Linked DNA regions of Sus scrofa. The protein of the gene in region 2 purifies or fractionates together with the protein of the main gene of each other region. This does not show direct contact. Links are inferred from orthologs where the notes say so. Each region holds a gene or a part of one and is shown on either strand. Other genes may lie near its edges. The genes, in order: KLC4 and KIF5B.

What was found.
Region 1: the proteins of KIF5B (region 2) and KLC4 purify together in Homo sapiens (affinity purification with mass spectrometry; 4 studies listed by BioGRID and IntAct, with this or other methods). This does not show direct contact. The link is inferred for Sus scrofa from reciprocal best matches to the Homo sapiens genes KIF5B and KLC4.

Annotation. Positions count from the first base shown.
Region 1 is NC_010449.5:38,127,675-38,137,924, reverse strand, and holds the end of KLC4 (kinesin light chain 4), read right to left. Parts: intron 10,036-10,250; coding exon 9,948-10,035; intron 8,654-9,947; coding exon 8,552-8,653; intron 8,316-8,551; coding exon 8,142-8,315; intron 7,563-8,141; coding exon 7,463-7,562; intron 7,264-7,462; coding exon 7,211-7,263; exon of another isoform or gene 6,995-7,210; coding exon 6,924-6,994; intron 6,744-6,923; coding exon 6,635-6,743; exon of another isoform or gene 6,035-6,634; coding exon 5,894-6,034; intron 5,607-5,893; coding exon 5,491-5,606; intron 5,100-5,490; coding exon 5,036-5,099; intron 3,862-5,035; coding exon 3,811-3,861; 3' UTR 3,395-3,810; downstream 1-3,394. Other genes in the region: PTK7 (inactive tyrosine-protein kinase 7), read right to left, coding at 1,970-2,048.
Region 2 is NC_010452.4:42,636,773-42,648,344, forward strand, and holds the end of KIF5B (kinesin-1 heavy chain), read right to left. Parts: intron 10,611-11,572; coding exon 10,550-10,610; intron 10,439-10,549; coding exon 10,367-10,438; intron 10,194-10,366; coding exon 10,089-10,193; intron 8,457-10,088; coding exon 8,240-8,456; intron 7,741-8,239; coding exon 7,610-7,740; 3' UTR 7,591-7,609; intron 2,801-7,590; 3' UTR 333-2,800; downstream 1-332. UniProt on the Homo sapiens protein: Microtubule-dependent motor required for normal distribution of mitochondria and lysosomes. Can induce formation of neurite-like membrane protrusions in non-neuronal cells in a ZFYVE27-dependent manner.

The DNA.
Region 1 (10,250 bases), on a different chromosome or scaffold from region 2:
AATCTACTGGAATCTACTTAAAAAGCATTGCCCCCCATAAGTCACGCCATCCAGTGCTGGGTTGAGCCTCCGGATTTCACTGGAGGACAGACAGCAGGCGCCTGGGCCTGGGCTGAAATTGTTTACAGCACAGGGGCAGGTTCCACACCAAGGCCCATTTGGTGGAACTGATTTAAGGCTCTCATTAAAATGTTCCTTTGTTGAGCACATCTCCCCACCCCCTGAGCAGGAGACTCCAGACCTCCAGTCCCGAGCCCTCAGCCTGCCCTAACCACCCCACCAGGGCCCCCCCACCCCGACACCCGTCACCAGATTAACATCCATTTAACATCAGAGTCATCCTCTCACAGAAGGAATTTAGAAATTTAGCATTTGTTGAACAAGACACCCCCCCCCAAGCTCCGTCTCCACCAGAATCTCCCCTGGACTCCAGAACTCTAAACATCAGCAGTGAAGGCAGCCACATCGGGCGACCCACACACCAGCCCCTAAACAGCTTGCCAACCTAGGAAGCCTGGGAGCTGCCAGCCCATATGGCTGTCCCCACCCCCCACCCCCCTATTCCTGGCGGCGAAAAAAAACTTGTACACTTCCTCTGGGAGCAGATGTGAGTTCTGCCATGAGCATTAACTACTCTGCACATCAGAAGGAACAGAGGGCGGCTCTAGAAATACCTCCTCCTGGGAATCCAGGGAACCTGTTCTTAACCTCTCTGTCCTGGGTTAGAACTACCTTTTCTTTTGCAACTGCAACTCCGGGTGGGGGAGATGTTGATTTCAGCAGGAGCAAGCGGCACCCCCCCCCCAACAGCTGGCAGGCCAAGGAGATGTCAGAAAGGGAAATTCTCACCCCCTGAACTCCTGCCTTGTCCACTCTTCAGAGAAGGAAAATGATAAGCAAGGACCCAGGTCTCCTGGGTGGAGTGTCCCCAGACAAGATCCTCACCAAAGATTTGGGGTTTTGCAAGGGGGGCCATACTTCCCATCCAGGCTGTTGGGGGTGCGGCGGGTAGCTTGGTGCTTCTTTCTAAAGCACTTCAACACCTCAGCGGTGACTCTCAGGTGAGACCAAGCCAGGAAATAAAGGGGGGGGGGTCAGTCTGCCCCGGAGATAGGGGCCACACCCTCCTCAAAACGCGGAGGCTCTCCAAGAAGGCAGATTGAACTCTTTTGGCCTTTCTGCCCGCAGAAGATTTTCTTTCCTTGCTGGGGACCGAGGATGGAAATCCAGGAAGGCGCAGCGCCGATCCCGTCCGCACCTTTGCAGGCCGGCCATGCCCGATTTTGGCAGCGGCCTTCACACATTAGTCACCGCGACAGCCTGGGACTCTCAGCTCCCCAGATCCGACCCTGGCAGGGAGTGGGTTCAGGGCTCGGGCCCCAGGAGCTGGAGGAGATAGGGTGGCCCCTAACTCTTCCCTTCTCCCGCCCTCACCAGCAGAACCGTCGGGGTCCCAGCCTGGCCCAAGAACTTGGAGGAGGGAAGCAGGGAGCATCGGGCGGGCGTAGGTAACAAAGCTCCGCGCCCCGCGCGCCGAAGGTCGGTCCGGCATCCGGCCCCAGGCCGGCCTCCCTCACCTAGGCTGAGCCTGCCGCGGGGATTCCGTCTCCCCCACCGCCAGCTACCGCGCTGCACCCCCTAAGAGGGGGGTAGTCGCTCTCTCCCGCAAGGAAACTCCTACCGGGGCCGGGGAACCGGCAACTCCCCGCAGTTACCGAGCAAAACTCTCGGCTCAGGCCGGGAAAACTCCGGGGAGGCTGGAAACGCGTCCTCGTGGGCGCGAGGCAAGAGGGGCCCCGGCCGAGCGTGCGAGGGCTTCGCCGCCTCCCGGCCGCCGGGATCTCGCCCCACCAGCAAGCCCCTGCCCCACGCCCTGCTGTCTCCCCCGCTCCAGCCGCCCAAGCCCACCTCCCGGTTGCCCCCTCTGGCGCGCGGGGCTCCCGCGCTCCCTCAGCTCGCCGGGACTCACCGCCCAGCAGCGGCAGCAGCAGAACGCTGAGCAGAGGCAGCCGGCGGGGGCTGCTCAGGGCTCCGCGCGCGGCTCCCATCGCGGCGGGCCCGGGGGAGGGAGAGGGCGGGCGCACGGCGGGCTAGCGGTCGGCGCTCCCCGGCGGGCCCAGGAGGCCGAGCGCACAGGAGCTCGGGCGCCGCTGCAGCTGCCGCAGCCGGAGCCCGAACCCGAGGCGTCCCGAGCCGGAGCCGCGCGCGCCCGGTACCTCCGAGTCCTCGCGCGCCGCCGCCGCCGCCGCCGCCGCAGCTGCCGCCAAGCCCCGCCCCGCGACGCCCCCTCCCCGCCGCGGCGGGGAGGAGCTCGCAGTTGGGGGAGGGGTCTGGAGAGGGATGGGGAACCCGGGGAAGGAGGCCCGGGGGTGTGGAGGACCTGAGCCAGGTAGGGGGGTGGAGGCAGTGCCTAACACCTAGTCTGCAGGGACTCAAGGGACCTAAAGTGACTTTTGTGATTCCGTCCCTCCTAGGGAAGATCGTCGATTCTGGGCTTCCCTGACCAACAGTTCCCCCAAATTCTCCGGCTAGGAGGGGAAGGGTGGGCTTGGGCTCACAAATCAGGAGGGAGACCTAGAACAGAAGGGTTCCCCCAGCAAGGTAACTTGGAGATACTGGTGGGGCCCCAGGAGAAGTGTAGCCTGGAGAAATGAGGGGTCTGGTTTGGCTCTGGACCAATCTGAACCCAAAGGTAGAGAGAGACTAGGTGTTCTTTGAATGGCTGACTGAAGGCTTTTAAACTGACAAATTCATCCCAAGTCCATCTCCAGGCAGGCTGGGCTGTGTCAGGGCATGGCCAAGTCTCCAGCTGTGGGGAGGCCCAGAACAGCCCTTGTTCCAGGCACCCCCACCCCCAGCGCCACCACCCCCACATTCTTCCTTTGTTGTGAAAGCAGCAAGGGGTGTAGGAGGCGGGTCAGGAGGAGTCAAGCTTTAGAAGATGGGCCCCAGCTGCTGCTGGGCCTCCAGGCTCTGCTGAGAGAGGATGGATAGTAAGTGCCTCGTCCCCCTCTGGCTCCGGAGGGCCCCCCAGGCCTGCTTAGACCTCCCTTCCCCCAAGCAGCTGGGAGGAGGAGGGGCAGCCACAGAGGGCCTCACAGGCCAGGAGCAGTGGCGCCAGGACTCCAGGGTCCTGCCACATGGCCACCACATGTCCCTGACAACCGGGTCCACAGCACCTTCTCCTTGGGATGTGGGCCTCCCCCCACCCCCCAGACGCCTTCCCGCAGGCCCTGCTGGAGAGGATACAAACGGGGAAGGAAGAGAGGAGGGAGCCAAGAGGCGAACATTCCTCCTGCTGCCCCATCCATCACTGCCCTCACCCTTCTGTGAAGGGCCCCAACACAACCCTTGCTTCCTACCCTCTTCAGTGAGGACTCCAGTGGCTGAATGGTTGGTTACCTGATTCCTTTATTTAAGAAAAGTGAAATACACGGACCTGAAGTGAAGCATTGGAGGGAAAAAGAGAGGCCAGGGCAAGACAGGTCAGCTGGCCAGTCCCAAACCTTCTGTCAGAAAAGCCAGCCACAGGCTGCATCTCTGAGGTGCACACCTGCTCTTTACCCACTTTGGGGGCCCTAGTAGTAGATGGAGCCACTCTAGAGGACCACAGGGTGGGGAGAGGGTGTCCTGAGGTTGGTTCCTGAGGGGGATTCCTGAGGAGGGAGCTGAGACCCTGAGGGCATCTTCTGGTTAACTGCTCCCCCTTCACTGTCCCACTGTAGGGTTGGAAGAGCCAGGAGCCACAGGGAATGCTGTGAGGGCTGCTGGGGACCCACCGGTCCCAGGGAAGGCAGGGGAGCTTGAATGTCAGCTGCTTGAAGAGAGATTCGTACTGCTGGCACTGAGGCCTCGGGAGACCTGAAACAGACAACCCCATGCCATCAGCTCAGGGATCTCAGCCTGCCAAAGACTGGCCCCTGGAGTCTCTCCATCTCATGGCTGCAGCTTCTCTCTGGACCTAGGATGGAACCTCTAACCTCAACCCCAAGCTCTGGGGCTTTGTTGACCCCTTGTTAGGACTTCCCAGAAGGCCACCATCTGGTGGAGAAAATACCTGGAAGAACCATGTGAATATCAGCATATACTTCAAATTTTTTTTTTTTTTTTTTTTTTTTTGCCCTTTTTAGGGCTGTACCTTCGGCATATATAGGTTCCTAGGCTAGGGGTCCAATCAGAGCTGCAGCTGCTGGCCTACACCACAGCCACAGCCACAGCAACGCAGGATCCGAGCCCCATCAGCGAACTATACCACAGCTCACGGCAATACCGGATCCTTAACCCACTGAGCGAGGCCAGGGATCAAACCCACATCCTCATGGATACCAGGGTTCGTTTCTGTTGCACCACAGCGGGAACAGGAACTCCTGGCATATGCTTTGAATGTGTTGCTACAAGTGGTCCTTTCCCATTAAAATGTCATTGCTGTTTTCTCAAAAGGAGATGAGTTAATACTTTTTTTTTCTTTTTCTCTTCTCAGCTCCTACAGACTCCCCAAGGTGAGGAATGTGGTGGCTGTAAGGAGAGAGCAATTAGTATCCCCAAATCATTCTTGAATAATTCATAATTCCAAAGTACCCATTTAGAGAACATCAATTCCTGCTTTCCTCCTGATTAATTTATGTGCTACTATCTCTGGCCCCAAACTGTCCCTTGGTGATCACCACCCCCAACAAGCTGTCTGCCCAACTCCAAGTCCCTGGCAGAGTCTTCATCCCAGTAACTCTCCCCTTTTCCTGGCTTGTCCTTTTTTGTGGGGGGCTGCACCCTTGGCCTATGGAAATTTCCAGGCTAGGGGTTGAATTAGAGCTGTAGCTGATGGCCTACACCACAGCCACAGCAAGGCCAGATCCGAGCTGCATCTGAGAGCTACACCACAGCTCACGGCAACACCGGATCCTTAGCCCACGGAGGGAGGCCAGGGATCAAGCCTGCGTCCTCGTGGATGCTAGTCAGATTCATTTCTGCTGATGGGGACTCCCTGGCTTGTCCTTTCTTTCTCACCTACCACTGTGCCCACAAGCACTGCTCTCACCTGGAGGGGCGTTGCATTGGGTTGGTTCAGATAGTTCAAGGAGGCTGCCCGCTTCATGTTGCTGCTACAATGGAAAAGAAAGAACTGAAGCTTCTTCTCTTTCCCATGGGTAACCCTTAAGCCGTGGCTTCTTGGGCACCACCACAGGAAGTCAGATCACTGCCTTCCCACCATCCATCCTCCCAACACACACACACACACACACACACACACACACACACACACACACACTCACACAAAACCCAACTTCATCAGTAATCAGCATCTGCTCAGGTATTGTTTTCCCCCAACTGAGGCACCCATTCTCCCCACACTCTCTCCACAACTGTCCCATTGACCTCCTCCATGTTTCTCTCCAAGACGCTTCTTCTCCAGAGATGAGAGGCCAGGAGGAGTTAGAGTTGGAGGCCAGGGCTCAGCCGCCTGCTCTGCCGTATCTCAGGCTCACTGCCTACCTGGAGGGCCGGGGCTCGGTCCCCTGGAGCTTCCTCACCAGGAGCTCACTGCTTCTACGGAGAACATCTCGGATCTTGCCCAGAGAGCCGCTCCTCTGCAGGGCCCCGCTGCCATCCTGGCAGAGAGGGGTAGGGGACAGAAGCTAAGGGGACCCCAGGCAGCCTGGCTTCTGAGTGTACTCCTGCCATTTACGCTGCCACCTCCCCCTGCCCCCAAAAGCCCAGCGACTGAAAACAAGAGCCCGGTCAACAGCTGGCTTGCAGAGAGACCCCGGAGAGGGATGGGCCACCGGAGCTGGGATGGGGACAACAGGCCCTCATGCACACATCCTACAGGCTCAGTGCCTGTCACCACCACCAGCAGGAGGGGCAGAAGAGATCAAGGGGTCCCCATCCAACTTACCCCTGACCACTCCACAGCCACTGAGGCATCTTCACCTCCCTCGAATTTCACGCTGCCCCCAAAGCCCTCCTGGGAGGTCCTTCCACTGTCACCCTCCCCAAGCAGCTCAGCCACCTTGGTCTGGCTGATCGGGTCAGTGCCCTGGAAAGAAAAGGAAGAAGCTGGGACGTCTCATTTCTGAGCTCCTCAGGATGGGGTTTTCAAACTTTTTCTCACCACTAGGGTCAAAGATAAGGTTTTTCCTGTGACCTCCCAGTACACACATACTGGGAAGGAGACACTCACCTTTTCTATTTGCAGTGCATTCCACATCTAGATACACACCTAGGCTTAGCCATGGCTCTCGCGGGACTGATTTTAGACCCACTAGTGAGTCAAGACCCACAACTGAAGAAACTCTGCTTCGGGGCTCCCCACAGTCGCAGCCCTCCCACCCATACCACCCCACGCTGCTCCCCAGAAGATGCTTCACGCTGTGAAAGGACAGGGTTTCTCTGCTGATAGTTCCAGTTAGTGAAGTGAACCTTGAACTTCGAGTCCTGACCACAAAGGGCAGGTGGGAAGTAAGAGTACGCTTCAAAACAACCACGACCACAAGCGGGTCTCAGCTTCCTCTCCAACCTTCCTCCTCAGCTGCCCCCCCTTACTCCTTGGAGACTGACAAGCAGCCTCAGTGGTCCCCCATCCTGTCCTGTCCCCAGGCCCTCCCTTCCAGACCTCCTTTCCCTCCAGGTCTCTGACCTGCTTCCAGGAGCGCAGGGCACACTCCTCCAGGGTCTCAGCTGCTTCCAGCTTTCCTTGGCACCTGTACAGAGCTCCGAGGTTCCTCAGAGTCGTGTTCACGGTGGGGCTGTGGCAGATGAGACCAGGGAAGGGAGAGAGGATGGGTTCAGAACACAAGCAGGAGAGAGAGGGAGCGGAGCTGAGGCCCAGGGAAGGTCAAACAGAAGAAGGGGATGGTCCAGGAGGCTGAGATGCCAGCATGGGTGGCAGCATCAGAGGCCAAGCCTGCTTCTCACCGGCAGCTTACCTGCTCACTTTGCAGGCCTTGTACCAGCCTCCATACTCAGCGTAGGGTGTGCCGCCCTCCCGGTGTGGGCTCTGCAGGAGGACAGAGGGGGAGGGGAAGCCAGAGATGAGAGGATGGAGATGCTGGGGTGCAAGCTGGTGCTGGGCTTGGTGCAGGCTGGGCTGGGGAAGGCACCGTGGGTCTGGGGCTGGCCCTCGGGTGGGAAGTGAGGAGCTGGCAGGCTGGTGCAGGAGCAAGACAGAGGCCTGGTAGCCTCTGGCTCCCCAGGTTGGGCCCCCCCAACTCACTTTGCTCATTGCCTCCCGCTCCTCTGCATGCATCCAGATGGGCTTGTGGTTGTCTGGGGGTGACACACGGGATGGAGTGGCAAGGTTAGAGGACAGAACTGGATAGTATGGGGGGAGCCAGGACCCAGAGGCCAACAGGCCTGGACTAAAGGGGCCCAGCTCCCCCTGGGAACCACTGTGGCCCACCTCCCAAGCCCTGGTCTGCATTTCCTTTCCTCCCTGCAGCTCCCTGCCCAGGTCCTCACCACGCACCATCCACAGAGCCAAACTCCTGCAAGTGGGCACGGGTCAGGATCTCTTTATAGAGCGTCTCAGCCTCAGCATATTTGCCCTGTTTCAGGTAACAGGAAGCCTGGGGGCAGGAAGGCAAAAACACAGGAGCAAGAGGTGGAGATAAAGTCTGGGATTTCCCCGTCTTCTTCTTTTTTTTTTTTTCTTTTTCTTTTAGGGCTGCACCCACGGCATATGGAGGTTCCCAGGCAGGGGTCCAATCAGAGCTACAGCTGCTGGTCTACACCAGAGCCATGGCAATGCCACATCCGAGCCTGAGCTACGTCTTCGACCTACACCACAGTTCACAGCAACACAGGATCCTTAACCCACTGAGTGAGGCCAGGGATCAAACCATTCCTCAAGGATATCAGCAGGATTTTTAAGCTGCTGAGCCACAACAGGAACTCCTGCGACTGCCCCTTCTTGATGACTTTCCCCAGAGATGCTCCTCATATCTCCTTTTCTAGCTGCAGGGTCCACAGTGTTCCCACGCCAATTCCAAGAGGCTATGGAATTTCTGCCTTCCCACAGGAAGGAAGCAGACCTCTCAGCCCCAAAGGCAGCCCCAGAGCTGGGCACAAAGACGAGGAGGTGAGCACAGGGACTTAGACGCTTTCCCCTCCCCTCTGCCCATGGCCTCTGCCCCTCCCTCCCTTACCAGGTTGTTCTTGGTCCGGGCTACGTTAGGGTTGTCAGGCCCCAGCTGCCCCTCATAGATGGCCAGTGCCCGCCGGTAATAGCGTTCCACGGCCTCATACTTGCCCTGGTTTTGGCACAACAGGGCCAGGTTGTTCAGTTGCTTTGCCACATCTGGGTGGTCAGTGCCCAGGACCTGAAGGGGTGCAAAGGAGGGACAGATGACTATGACTGTGCGTGTGGGTGTGTGTGCGGGTGCGGGCGTGTGTGCGCATGCCCAGGCAGGGAGCAGGGGGAAGGGAATGATGAAACAGAGAACAAGGCAGACACAGGGATGAGGCCAAAGGAAGTGAGGCAAGAGGGTAGACTGGAAGAGAGATGATACAAGAGGGCTCTCCGCAACAGGGAAGAATGGGCAGAGGGCACGGGTACCTTTTCTCGAATCTCCAGGGCCCGCTGGCACAGTGGCTCTGCCTCCTTGTATTTGCCTCTCTTACCATAGAGCACAGCCAGATTGTTGAGTGTGGCGGCCACCTAGCAAGACAAGCCCGTCCCCATCAGATGCTGGTGCTGCAAAAGACCTTGAACGGCAGGGCCCCACGCTGCACAACTCCAAGACAAGTGGACTCCGCCAGAGGCCGGGGAGGGGCAAGGGCTGAACCCCTAGGCTCTGAGGTTCTCCATGAGGGTGGTATCGCCTTCTGGGAAGATACTTAGGTACTTCTGGAGGCAGGGTTTTTGTTTCTTGTTTGCCAGGAAGACTAAGGACCCTGTTACCTTCGGGGAGACGAGGATGCTACGAATGTTCTGCCTGTGTGGGCCCCCTCGAGCAACTTTGGAATGTCCTGCCAGACATCTAAGCACTGAATATAAGCTTTGACATTTGATAGGACATCAAGACAGGAGTTGTTGTTTGTTTGTTTGTTTTCAGTCGCACCCATGGCACACAGAAGTTCATGGGCCAGGGAGTGAATCCGTGCCACAGCAGCAACCCAAGCCACATCAGTGACAATGCTGGATCCTTATCCCACTGAGTCACGATGGGAACTCCATAAGTTACTTTTCTTATTTCTCTTTTCTAATAATAAAGTATCATTCAACTTTTTTGGGAAAGTGTAGGTGTAAGTAAGTTACATTCTCTATGAGTTAAGCATTAGGAAAATATACATCATTAGAAGCAATCACTGGGTCTCAGAGAGTTGAAAACCACTAGCATCAGCAGACAGTGTTGGGAGAAAGGGGTCTTCATGCCTCCTTCCTCAGAAAACCCAGGGCTGAGGGCAATGGATGGACAAACTAAGAAAACATAGGGGGAGTTCCTGTCGTGGTGCAGTGGAAACAAATCCAACTAGGAACCATGATCCCTGGCCTCTCTCAGTGGGTTAAGGATCTGGCGTTGCCATAAGCTGTGGTGTAGGTAGCAGATTCAGCTCGGATCCACTGTTGCTGTTACTGTGATGTAGGCTGGCAGCTATAGCTCCAGTTCGACCCCCTAGCCTGGGAACTTCCATATCCTGTAGTGCAGCCCTAAAAAAAAAGACACGGAGTTCCCGTCCGGGTACAGTGGAAATGCATCTGACTAGGAACCATGGGGTTTTGGGTTCGATCCCTGACCTTCCTCGGTGGGTTAAGGATCTGGTGTTGCCATGAGCTGTGGTGAAGTTCACAGATGCAGCTCGGATCTGGCATTGCTGTGGCTCTGGTATAGGCAGGTGGCTACAGCTCTGATTGGACCCCTAGCCTGGGAACCACCATACGCCATGGTTGCAGCCGTAAAAAGACAAAAAAAAAAAGAGAACACAGGGGAAGGAGAGGAAGGAATACTGACAGCAGGGTGGTCCCGACCCAGGGTGCTCTCTCGAATGCTGAGGGCATCATTCAGCAGATGGGCAGCTTCCTTATACTTATTCTGGTCCCTGTGAGAGGACAAAAGTGACAAGGGGTTACATCCCACTCTGTCCCCAAGCCATCTCCCTACATTTGGGGTATCTTTAGGGATTGGGACCCCCCACGAGGAAACAGGAAGCCTGGAAAGAACAGTGAGACGGGTTCACTGACACACCCAGGACACACCGAGAGGAGGGCACAGTCACAGGCTGCAAGAGTCAGAAACAGAAAACCCTCCCCAGAG
Region 2 (11,572 bases):
CTCCTACACACACTAAAAACCAATCAGCACCAGAACTGAGAAAGAGTCTGTCTTTGGTTTTCTACAGCTAGACCTGAATGACCACTGAGGAAGCACTGGGCTCAGATAAACGGAACCATGTAGACTAAAACAACGTGAGACTGAGGATTCATCTCTAGCTCTTAATCCTTCAGCCTACGTATGTAATACCTGATGTCCAAAGCACACACAATACGTTAGGAAACAAAATATACATGAATATAATGACATATGAGTTACTGTTCCGTCAAGAAAGGCCACCTGGTCATATAAAATCAACCTGATATTTCACTGAGTAAGTTTTAAGAAAGTCATTACATTTCAAAAAAATTTTCCTCTTTATTTAAACATAAAACACATTTACAGCATGCAGGTTAACTTAAAATTATGTGGCGCCTTCCCAAACCAATCATCTCTGAACATATCTTCAAGCACTGAAAAGAAACCAACATATTCCACAGGTGGACTCAGATTCTCTTCTATCACCTCCTGTCAAACTGAGTTATGCACAGTAGTTTTTTTTAAATTAGGCAAATAATTTAATTGATCACCTTGAATAAATATTACTTCTATTTCATTGAGTTTCTCTTCTGAACCATTTTATCAATACCATTCAGAGGAACATTAATATATTCAGTCAAAAAAAAAAAAAGACACTGCAAATTGAAATAAGTGTCGATGTTTCAGATGAGCAGAAATTTTCATTTATGAGAGCAAATGCTGTGTTTAATGACATAGCAAAAGCAGTTCAATGAAAACAAATTCATGAAATTCTCTGTACATTTTGTGGAAGTCTGAAATTAAATAGGAAAGAACCACTGAGATACTTAAAAAACCCTAACATTGTGTTTCTGAACCGCATGCTAGTTACAACTGTTTGTTACACAGCACCAATACCCGTGACAGATCTTACAAGAATGAAACTACCATGTTCAAAGAGAAAAGAATTTCTGCCTCACTTAAGAATATTGCCAAAAAAGCAAGCTTTCATTTGAAAATGAAATGTAAACGTCTATGTGAATACAGCCAAATATTTATCCATTTAGAAAACTATTGTCACAAATAGGCAGTAGCACTTTTTTTTTTTTGTTAACTGCACTACTTCAATCTTGCTGCACAACGAGGTTTCGTCTCAATTTTTGGAGTGCTTCTTTTGATCAATCCTAAAAACAATACAATCATTTTAAAGGTTGCAGACCATTAACATCAAGAATTTTTGACTGTTAAAAAAATAAATAAATTTATCTTTTAAATCAAAATTATTATAAAAGTGGAAATTACAATAGTTAAGGAAATAGAAAAATAAGCCAATTATGATCTGAGTCTTCTGACTATGGCTCCAAATTTAATACAAATATCTGTATATAAAACTTTTTCAAAAAGTTAATTTTGCCACCCAGATCCTAACGCAAAACTTTCCAACTTTCTCTGCTGAGTAACCTTAAATCCCCATGCTCCGCAAATTTCTGATAACATAGTTGCAGTTAGTCCCCTCCCACTGATGAAGCAAATATTGAAATCTCTTCCTTTATTACTTTTGTAGCTTCTAAAATAAACTGTTGACTTTTAATCATCTGAGGAAGAAGTGGCAAAAACAGGTACACTTAATTACAAAATTATCAGCTGCTGCCAACAAAATAATTCATTTGAGGATTATTAGTGACTTGCAAATGATTATTTCTAGACTAAAGAAGAAATAAGTTATACTGTACGACTTAATGTAGCAAGTTAAAAAAACCTCAGGGATTTCGGACCAAATTTACCTACATATTTATAAATTCATCTGGTATTTATCCTGTCCTTCCACATTTTTTCCTCAGTTTCCATAGGCTATAAATTTACATAAACCAATACAGTACTAATAATATAAAATTGTTTACTCCTATAATATCTTAGTTCATTTCACTATATTAAGATGACAAATTCATATCTGTCCAATTCTTATATTAATTAGCAGGCTCACCAGAATGAAGCAGGGTGTTTTCATTCCATCAAGCTATGTGCACTACTGCAGCACTGGGAAGAGAAATTTCTTTTCCAGACTCTTTCTTAAACAAAAGCAAAATATTTGCTTTTGATATTGTAATGTAGTTCTATTCAAGATAATTCAGCAACAGGCATTTCATGAGATAATTAAGTTGCCTTGCTTAGTTTCAAATGTCTAGTTAGGCAGTTTTAAGGTTTCAGTGCTCAAGGAGTAGTTTTCAGAAGCGAACTTCAGAGATGATACAGATAATTTTAACTCCGAAGTCATTTCAAGGGATTTTAAAGTACAGTACTGATCTGATATAATTTGTGGGCATGTAGTGTTGTAAGTGGTAAAATTTAAGACATTTAATCTAAGTGTTCCATTTTCCCTAAAATAAGGAGGATATTATTTTAATAAGAAAAGAGAAATAAGAAGCAGTAGCAGCTAGGTAACCTAAAGTGAGATTTAAAAATAAAAACACAATAGAACAAGTACAAAAAGCAGAGTCCTATATGGTACAGTTAGCTTGGCACAGTGAAGACTAAATTTAAGACATGAAAGACAGACTGTGTAATAAATAGGGCCACAGTTGTAAACTGTCGTTTTTCCCTCCTAAGACGCCAAAATTGCACTCTAGTTGTGTTGGGAAGCAGCAGAGTTTACAAGAGTGGGTAGGAAACAAATGTACAGGCCAGGTACAATTTATACACTAAAAAGAAATTCTAATTCTATAGTTTCCAAGGGACAGAGGCTATGGTCATTGAATGACTGCTTGATATTATGTTCTCTTCATACTTCAATTACTTTCAACACCTGAAGATGGAAGAAAGCATAGAGAGAAAATATTTTTACTTATACAAAACTTGTCTCTGAGATAACTATGAAAAAAATGAAATAAAACATACCAAATAGTTTAAAAACATTTAGCCAACAGCTTTGAATATTTTCCCCCAAACTGAAAAGATGGCAAAATTAAATGATTTTCTTTTCATTTGCCTTTTAAGTAGAGCTGTTCAGGGACAGAGTAACATAAAAAGGAGGCCAGTCTTGTATTTATCTCCCCAAGAACTAGGAATGAGCAGATGTTTGAATTATATGTTTTTTTTTCTTTTTTAGGGCTGCACCTGGGGCATATGGAAGTTCCTAGGCTAAGGACCGAATCGCATCTGCAGCTGTAGGCCTACACCACAGCTCACAGCAACAACATGCCCTTAACACAATGAGCAAGGTCAGGGATCGAACCCACATCCTCATGGATACTAGTCAAGTTTGTTACCACTGAGCCACAACAGGAACTCCGAATTACATGTTTTTTTTTTTTTTAAAAAAGAAAAAGATGGTCAATAAAATGGCAGCCAGTAGACAGTGTGAGCAACGTTAAGCTAAGGAACACCAAACCAGCAATGCCATATACAAGGTAGCTGTAGGAGTTCCCGTTGTGGCTCAGTAAGTTACAAACCCAACTAATATCCATGAGAATGTGGGTTTGATCCCTGGCCTCGATCAGTGGCTTAAGGATATTGTGCTGCTGCGAGCTGTGGCTAGATCTATCGTTGCTGTGATTTTGGCTGGCAGCTACAGCTCAAATTTGACCCCTAGCCTGGGAGTCTCCCATATGCCATGGGTGCGACTCTAAGAGAAAGAAAAAAAACCACAAAGAAGGTAGCTGTAAAAAACAAAAGGGGGTCGGGTAGGGATAAGCAAGAGGTTGGGAAAGTGACAGTGAAATAACAATCCCAGCAGCTGTTACCTTGTGCTCACTCAACTGCCTATTTACCTATGTGTTTAGAAAACCTTCACTTGCCCAAAGCATGATGGAAGCTGGCAGAACCAGCCTCCCCAAACCAGGCAGTATCGGTATCATGAATACATTGCCATCTTTTCCTTGAATAAACCCAGTGCTTTAAAACGCTTTTCTTTTTCTTTTTTTTTTTTGGTCTTTTTAAAGGGGCCGCTTCCATGGCATATGGAGGTTCCCAGGCCAGGAGTCGAATTGCAGCTGTAGCCACCAGCCTACACCACAGCCACAGCAATGTGGGATCCAAGCCGAGTCTGCAACCTACACACAGCTCATGGCAACACCAGATCCTTAACCCACTGAGTGAGGCCAGGGATCGAACCACAGTCTCATGGTTCCTAGTGGGGTTTCTTTCTGCTGTGCCACAACGGGAACTCCCCTGTTTTTCTTTCTTTTTTTTGTCTTTTTGCTATTTCTTGGGCCGCTCCTGTGGCATATGGAGGTTCCCAGGCTAGGAGTCGAATCGGAGCTGTAGCTGCTGGCCTACGCCAGAGCCGCATCTGCAACCTACACCACAGCTCACGGCAATGCCGGATTGTTAACCCACTGAGCAAGGGCAGGGACCAAACCCGCAACCTCATGGTTCCTAGTCAGATTCGTTAACCACTGCGCCACGACGGGAACTCCCCATGTTTTTCTTAATAATTAAAAAGTAATTTAAAATACCTCTACAAAGTATTTACTTCTTCAATAATGTATCACTTATGTAGATGATATACTTCTCAATCATGGCTTAAGACTGATGCAAGACCTTAAAAAAAAATAACAACCACTATCCTATGGACAGCAATGAAACAAACCTGAACTTGACTATACCTTTTTTTTTTTTTTTTGGCTGTGCTGGCAGCACATGAAAATTTCCAGGCCAGGGGTCAAACCTGTGCCACAGAAGTGACAACACTGGGCCCTTAACCCGCTAGGCCACCAGAAACTCCCTGATTATACTCTTTCAGTCACTTCAAGTCTCGACAACCTGGTCTAGCTAGGTTAACTATCTCCCTCATGTGCTAAACTGCTGTCATTACATTCTACTTTCCAGCTAAAACCTAGCTGTATTTAACAAAGGTGATGGACCATTCTCTCTCAAATGAGGTAAGAGGTTAAAGTTCACATGTGAACTGTAACGCGAGGACAAGATCCAAAAAAGATAAACTTTTACCTGTATTTATATTTATGCTTTGAAAATGCCTTTGCCCACCTCCACTTCCAGAAAAGGCAGCTTGCATCTACTTGGCACCCACTCTTTACTAGTTAATGACATCTTAACTGTATAACTCTCAAGAATGACTTTGATTTTAGTAATAAGGGGAGCTCAACAAGTTACCAATCCAAAGAGGGAAAAAACAGAAGCACTCTCCTAATTGGCAGGAAAGTTACTGTAACATCTTCTGATGAGAGACAATAATAAAGCACCTATTACCTACAATACAGTCTTATAACAATGTTTACGAGAACCCAAAAAATGATTTTTTTTTTTTTTTGGTCTTTTTAGGGTCACACCCATGGCAGAGGGAGGTTCCCAGGCTAGGGGTCCAAAGAGAGCCGTAGCTGCCAGCCTATGTCACAGCTACAGCAACGTCAGACCTGAGCGGCACCTGCAACCTACACCAAAGCTCATAGCATTGCCGGATCTTCAAGACACTGAGGGAGGTCAGGGATTGAACCCACACTCTCATGGATGCTAGTCCCAGATTTGTTCCTGCTGAGCCATGATGGGAACTCTACCAGCTTTAAAAAACTTAATCTGTAATTTGATTTTATGCTTAAGAATTTTATTTTATTTTTTTGGTCACGGCCCTGGCATGTGAAAGTTCCTGGGCCAGGACAAAACCCACACCACAGCAGTAACCCAAGTCATAGTAGTGATAATGACGACCCTTAACTGCTGGGCGGCCAGGGAACTCCCTATGCTTAAGGGTCAAAATAAGAAAGAAATTAACTGAAAAAGTAACCTGCTCAAGTTCATAAGAGTAAATTCAAACAGACGGGACTCCAATATCAATACTTTTTTCACTATATCATTCTCTTTTAAATCCAGAATATCGCTTAATTTTCTACTCAAATTGACAGCCAATGTTATGCAAAATGTCAAAGTAAAAAACAAAGAAGATTAAAATAAAATGACTTTAGTATCTGTCAAAAATAAAAACAATTAACTATCTCAAAGTTATCTAATATTTTTAGTTTCCAAACCATCTACACACCTGAGGCTTCCCAAAGGATTAAATCTGAGTTCCTACCATACAGTAAAATAGCAGGCAGCTATAATCAGTCACATGGCCAAGTTAAAAAAGTAGGCTACGAAGTAGTATTTTATAGAATATTTATAGAATAGCATAGTATCTTGGTAATATAATATTAACTGACAGTTTAAGCTTTCTAATTTAAAAGTTATAATATGTGAAGACAGCCCCAGGAAAATATATACAACATACTGGGTGGTATCTCTGGATAATATTTATCTCCTACTTTACTTTGCGGTAATTCTTTATCCCCCTACATGGTAAAAATATTACTTGCATTTAGAAAGAAACAAGTAAGAACTCATAAATTATAAAAACCACTCACAGAGGTAAATGGGAAAGGACACAGAAATAATTCATTAAAAATATAAGTATATAAATGGGCCAATAAACATGAAAATATCCAAATTCGTTAATAAATTAATGAGATAGTTGGCCTATTAAAATAGGAACTTAAAAACTATTAATACTTAATACTGGCAAAGATACAACAAAAAGGACAGTGTCACTGGCTAAGATGCAATTTGGTGCAGTCTTCTGAAGAGGGTTAGTGTCAAGAGCCTTAACAATGTTCACTTTCGGGAGTTCCCATCATGGCTCAATGGTAACGAACCCAATCAATATCCATGGAGATGCAGGTTTGATCCCTGGCCTCACTCAGTGGGTTAAGGATCCAGCACTGCTGTGAGCTGTGGCGTTGGTTGCAGACTTGGCTTGGATTCCACATTGCTGTGGCTGTGGTGTAGGTCAGCAGCTACAGCTCCAATTTGACCCCTAGCCTGGGAACTTTCATATGCTATCGATTTGGCCCTCAAAAGACCAAAAAAAAAAAAAAAAAAAGTTTCACTTTCTCCTAATCCCACTTATGGGAATTATCTGGAGATAATCGCAAAGTTGAGGATGTATAAAAAGATGTTTCACTGTGACTTTGCAATGACTATATGGAAAACATGAAACTTTTTTCTGGCTACACCTGCAGCATGAGAAAGTTCCTGAACCAGGGACTGAACCTGCAACACAGCAATGACAACGCTGAATCCTTAACCCACTGCACCACAAGGGAACTCCCATATATGGAAATTTCAATTTTGGACTATTTCAAGTATGGGAAAATTAACATAATTAAAAGTCTAGTAAAAGGCAATAGTTCAAAACAAAGAACCACAAAGGAACAAGGGAGTTACCTGATGGCTCAGAGGGTTAAGGATCTAGCACTATCAGCATTGCAGTGTGGGTCAATCCCTGGCCTGGGAACTTCTGCATGCTGTAGGCACAGCCAAAAATGAAACAAAATAAAACAAGGCAGTAGTTATAAATCATAGTATATCCATTAGACAATACCAAGAACTTAAACAAATGATCTAACAATAGGCTAAAAACAGTAAGAACACAAATTTGAATATACATATAGTATGACATGAACCAGGACAAAACTAAAGTTACTTATAATCCCACACATTAAAAAGAAACCATGATACTAAAGTGAGAATCCGAAAGGGTGTTTAACTGCCAATGAACCTCTCCATGGACAGGTGTGATTAAAAAATCCAGAGACCACCAACCTGTGGTGCCCTGTGAAGATTACACCTGCTTGCCTCCCCCGCCTCGTACTGCCACTGGCTGGCTGTTCTGAACAAATGCACCTCCTCCACGAATTGCACTTGGATGAGTCGGAGAAGCTGCGGGATGTTGCCCAGGACGAATAGGTTTAGCTGGTGTGAAAAACAAAAACTGACTTTAGAATAAATAACATGCGACTGCAATGACTCTGTAGGTCTCTTCTCTTTCTTCGCAAACAACTGCCCCCCCTTTCTCTTTGCCTTTCTATTTCTCAGTTATATCCTTTCCTCTAGGACCTATCCAATCCTTAGTTTCTGAAAATCCTTATTCCTTTATCAATGATTAACAATTAAAGTATGAAATACTATGGATGACATTTTCTTCCAAGTCTCTCTTTGCTTGAGTAACTTTGCTCTACATGGTTTCTTCTATCTGTGACCAGTCTCACTTGGCTGTGCTGTTCTGATCTCTCTTCTTGTCCTTTTGAGGTGACTTCCTCAGTTTGCTCTTCATTCCCAACAATGTTACTTTTTGGCAAATTAAAAAACACAAATACCACTGTGGCAGCACATAACAAATAAATCAGAGTACATTCTCAAGCAAAGAGAAACATTCAAACCAAAGCAAGGTTATTTATTGTGCTTTACTAACCAATTTGTGCAGAATGTCCTCTTCTGGCCATATTCTTTGATCTGACTGCTTCCTTTATACGATCTACTTCCTGCTGATAGCGTTTGCGATCACGAGATGCATTTTCTTTGGCTTCTTTCAGTGCAGACTCCAAAGCTTTCACCCTCTCAGCTGTAGCTCTGAGTCGCTTTTCCAACTTAGGAAGCTCACAGCGAAGATCTGCATTATCACGTACCAACTAAAGGTATATAGAAAAAATAAGGATTGTAGCTTTAAAGATGATTTGAAAAAATATGAACATTCCATAATTTCTCTTGAAAAAAAGTAACACTGCAACAAGCAAAGAATACATGTATCCATAAATACCACACACACACACATATGCTTCTCCCTAAAATATAATTTCATTCAATTTTGGAAGGTTTAGGAGACTATTCTTCCCCATTATTAAGTACTGAAATTATGTTATAACATAGGGTTAAGGTCTCTTCATTAAGATATTCATATTGTGGAAGTAATTATCCTTTTAGATAGAGTAAGATCCACAAGTAAACATTAACTTAGCAAGTCCCTTAAGTGCTGAAAGCAGGGAAGGCTTAAACTCCTTTAACCTTACTCTGGTGCAAACATAAGATTTATAATAACAAAGATACAATTAAGCATGCCAAGAAACTTAAAAGCTAATTAAATCATATATCAAACTTTTATAAAAGATAAAAAACCCACAGTAAGCATTATATTTTTCTTCCTTTTTTAAGGCCACACCAGTGGCATATGAAAGTTTCTGGGGTAGGGGCTGAATTGGAGCTGCAGCTGCAGGCCTACACCACAGCCACAGCAACACCAGATCCAAGCCACATCTGCTACCTATACCACAACTCATGGCAACGCCAGATCCTGAACCCCCGAGTAAGGCCAGGGACTGAACCCACAAACTCATGGTTCCTGGTCAGATTTGTTTCCCCTGAGCTAAGACAGGAACTCCAGGATTACTTTTTAAAGAATAAGAACTGCATCATTATTTTATATATTTCACACTCTGGGGCATTAAATGTATAAATACAAAAAAAGAGAAGCATTTAACTGCAAAGACTTGTCTACTACAGATTTAAAAATTATCATACTAAGAAAACTGACAGATTGGAAACCCTACATAAAAATTAAAACATCTGTTTTCATTGGCCTCTTAATAAAAAGCTGTGTTCCGCTGTGTTCAGGAGTTCCGCTGTGACTCAGTGGTAGCGAACCCAACTAGTATCCATGAGGACTTGGGTTCAATTCCTGGCCTTGCTCAGTGGGTTAAGGATCTGGCATTGAAGCAAGCCATAGCGTAGGTAGCAGACCTGGCTTGGATCTGGCGAGTTGCCATGGCTGTGGTGTAGGCCAGGAGCTATGACTCTGATTCACATCCTAGCCTGGGAACTTCCACATGTTGTAGGTGCAGCCCTAAAAAGACAATTAATTAATAAAACTTAAGGAAAAAAAAAAAAAAAAAGCTATTCAAAAATTCCCCAGAGTTTCTGCTATGGTACAGCCTTTTAAGGATCCACTGCTATCTTTGTGGCTGTACAGGTCTGGCCTAGCAAAAGCAGTGGGTTAAAGGATCTGGCATTGCTACAACTGTGGTGTAGGTCTCAGCTGTACCTTGGATTCGATCCCTGGTCTGAGAACTTCCATATGCTGTGGGTGTGGCCATAAAAACCAAACCAAAACAACAAACAAATAACCAAAACTCCCCCAGAAACTGCTAGTGGCGTATTTATATAATTGTGTGATAAAATAATGGAATGGCTCATGGTATGAAAATCCTTGGATTCAAATACCTGCCACTCCTCGGTTTGTATTGAACACAAAATATACTCTTTATTACCTGTTTGTGCACTTTAGTGAGTTGCTCAAGATTATTTTCAAGAAAGGAGATTTTTTGCTTTTGAGCAGCACTACCTCCAGTGTCATCAGAATCGATTTCGGCACTCTAGAAAAGATCAATAAGTGCTATGAAAAAATAGTATTAGATCAAATAAAAAACCTAAGTTTAACTATCCCAAAACTGTTACAATAATATAAGGTGATTTCACTACAAATACAAGAATTAGACACAGTAAGGTGTGTATTTTATAATTACCCACCCCAGTATTACTTTATTACCTTTTTAACCCTGGTGGCCAGGTCTTGAACAAAGAGCTTCCGTAGGTTGTGTAAAGTCTGAAGTTCCTTTGCCTTGAATTAAGAAAGCAGTATTTTTGGAAGTCAGTCTTCAAATTTAGTATAACCAATGGGAAGAGCCCATTAAATATCCTCAAATCCTATTTACTTCCAAGTTTTTCTTACCACTGTCTCTTCCAAACCCTTCAAGTCTTGTCTTGCTTGTTCTCGTCTATCTTGCATAACCCTAAAGAGTGGAAGAACATATAAATGTTTTCAACTTCGAGTCTCTAAACTCTAGATTTAGCACAAACATCTGAATCAAATATTTTTATCTGAAAGAATAAATCCCCCCCCCCTTTTGAGGTCCCATGGCATATGGAGTTCCTGGGCCAGGGATCTAAAGTGCAGTTTTGACCTAAGCTGCAGCTGCAGCAACTACAGACAACCCTTAAACCACAGTGCCAGGCTGGGCGTTCCTGATGTTGCTGATCCCACTGTACCACAGTGGGAACTCCAGGATCAATTTTTAAATTCAAATGAAAGATCTTATTTTTAAAAAAGTTTACTGATGTTATGTTTTTCAAAGAAATTTCCACATGCCTTATCATCTTCTAAATCTATATGTCTTATTAGAAAATAACCCTCCCATTATAGCAGTAGAAGTGATGAAATAAAATGTGGCAGAATTCAAGTGATACTGAGCGGTTCTTTTTATATTTTACAACAGGCATTACCATATAGCACACTAATGTTTATCCAAAATAACTCCAATTAAACTGAGAATTGCAGAGATAATAAATTATTGAAGACTAAAAAAAATTTTGTGTTTTTTTGTTGTTTCTTTTTAGGGCTATACATATGGCATACAGAAGTGCCCAGGCTACGAGTCAAAGAGGAGCTGCAGCTGCCGGCCTATGCCACAGCCAGAGCCACAAAGGATCAAAGCCAAGTCTGCAACCTGTACCATAGCTCACGGGGCAATGATGGATACTTAACACACTGAGTGAGGCCAGGGATCAAACCAGCATCCCCACGGATAGCAGCTGGCTTTATTACCACTGAGTCACAGCAGAAAGCCCCCATTTTATGTATTTTAAATGTTAACATTATTCTAAACAAAATTATAGCTGAGATTCAGTAGATCCCTGACCCACTGCAGTTGGTTAAAAGATCTGGCATAGGTTGCAGCTGCAGCTCAGATTCTGC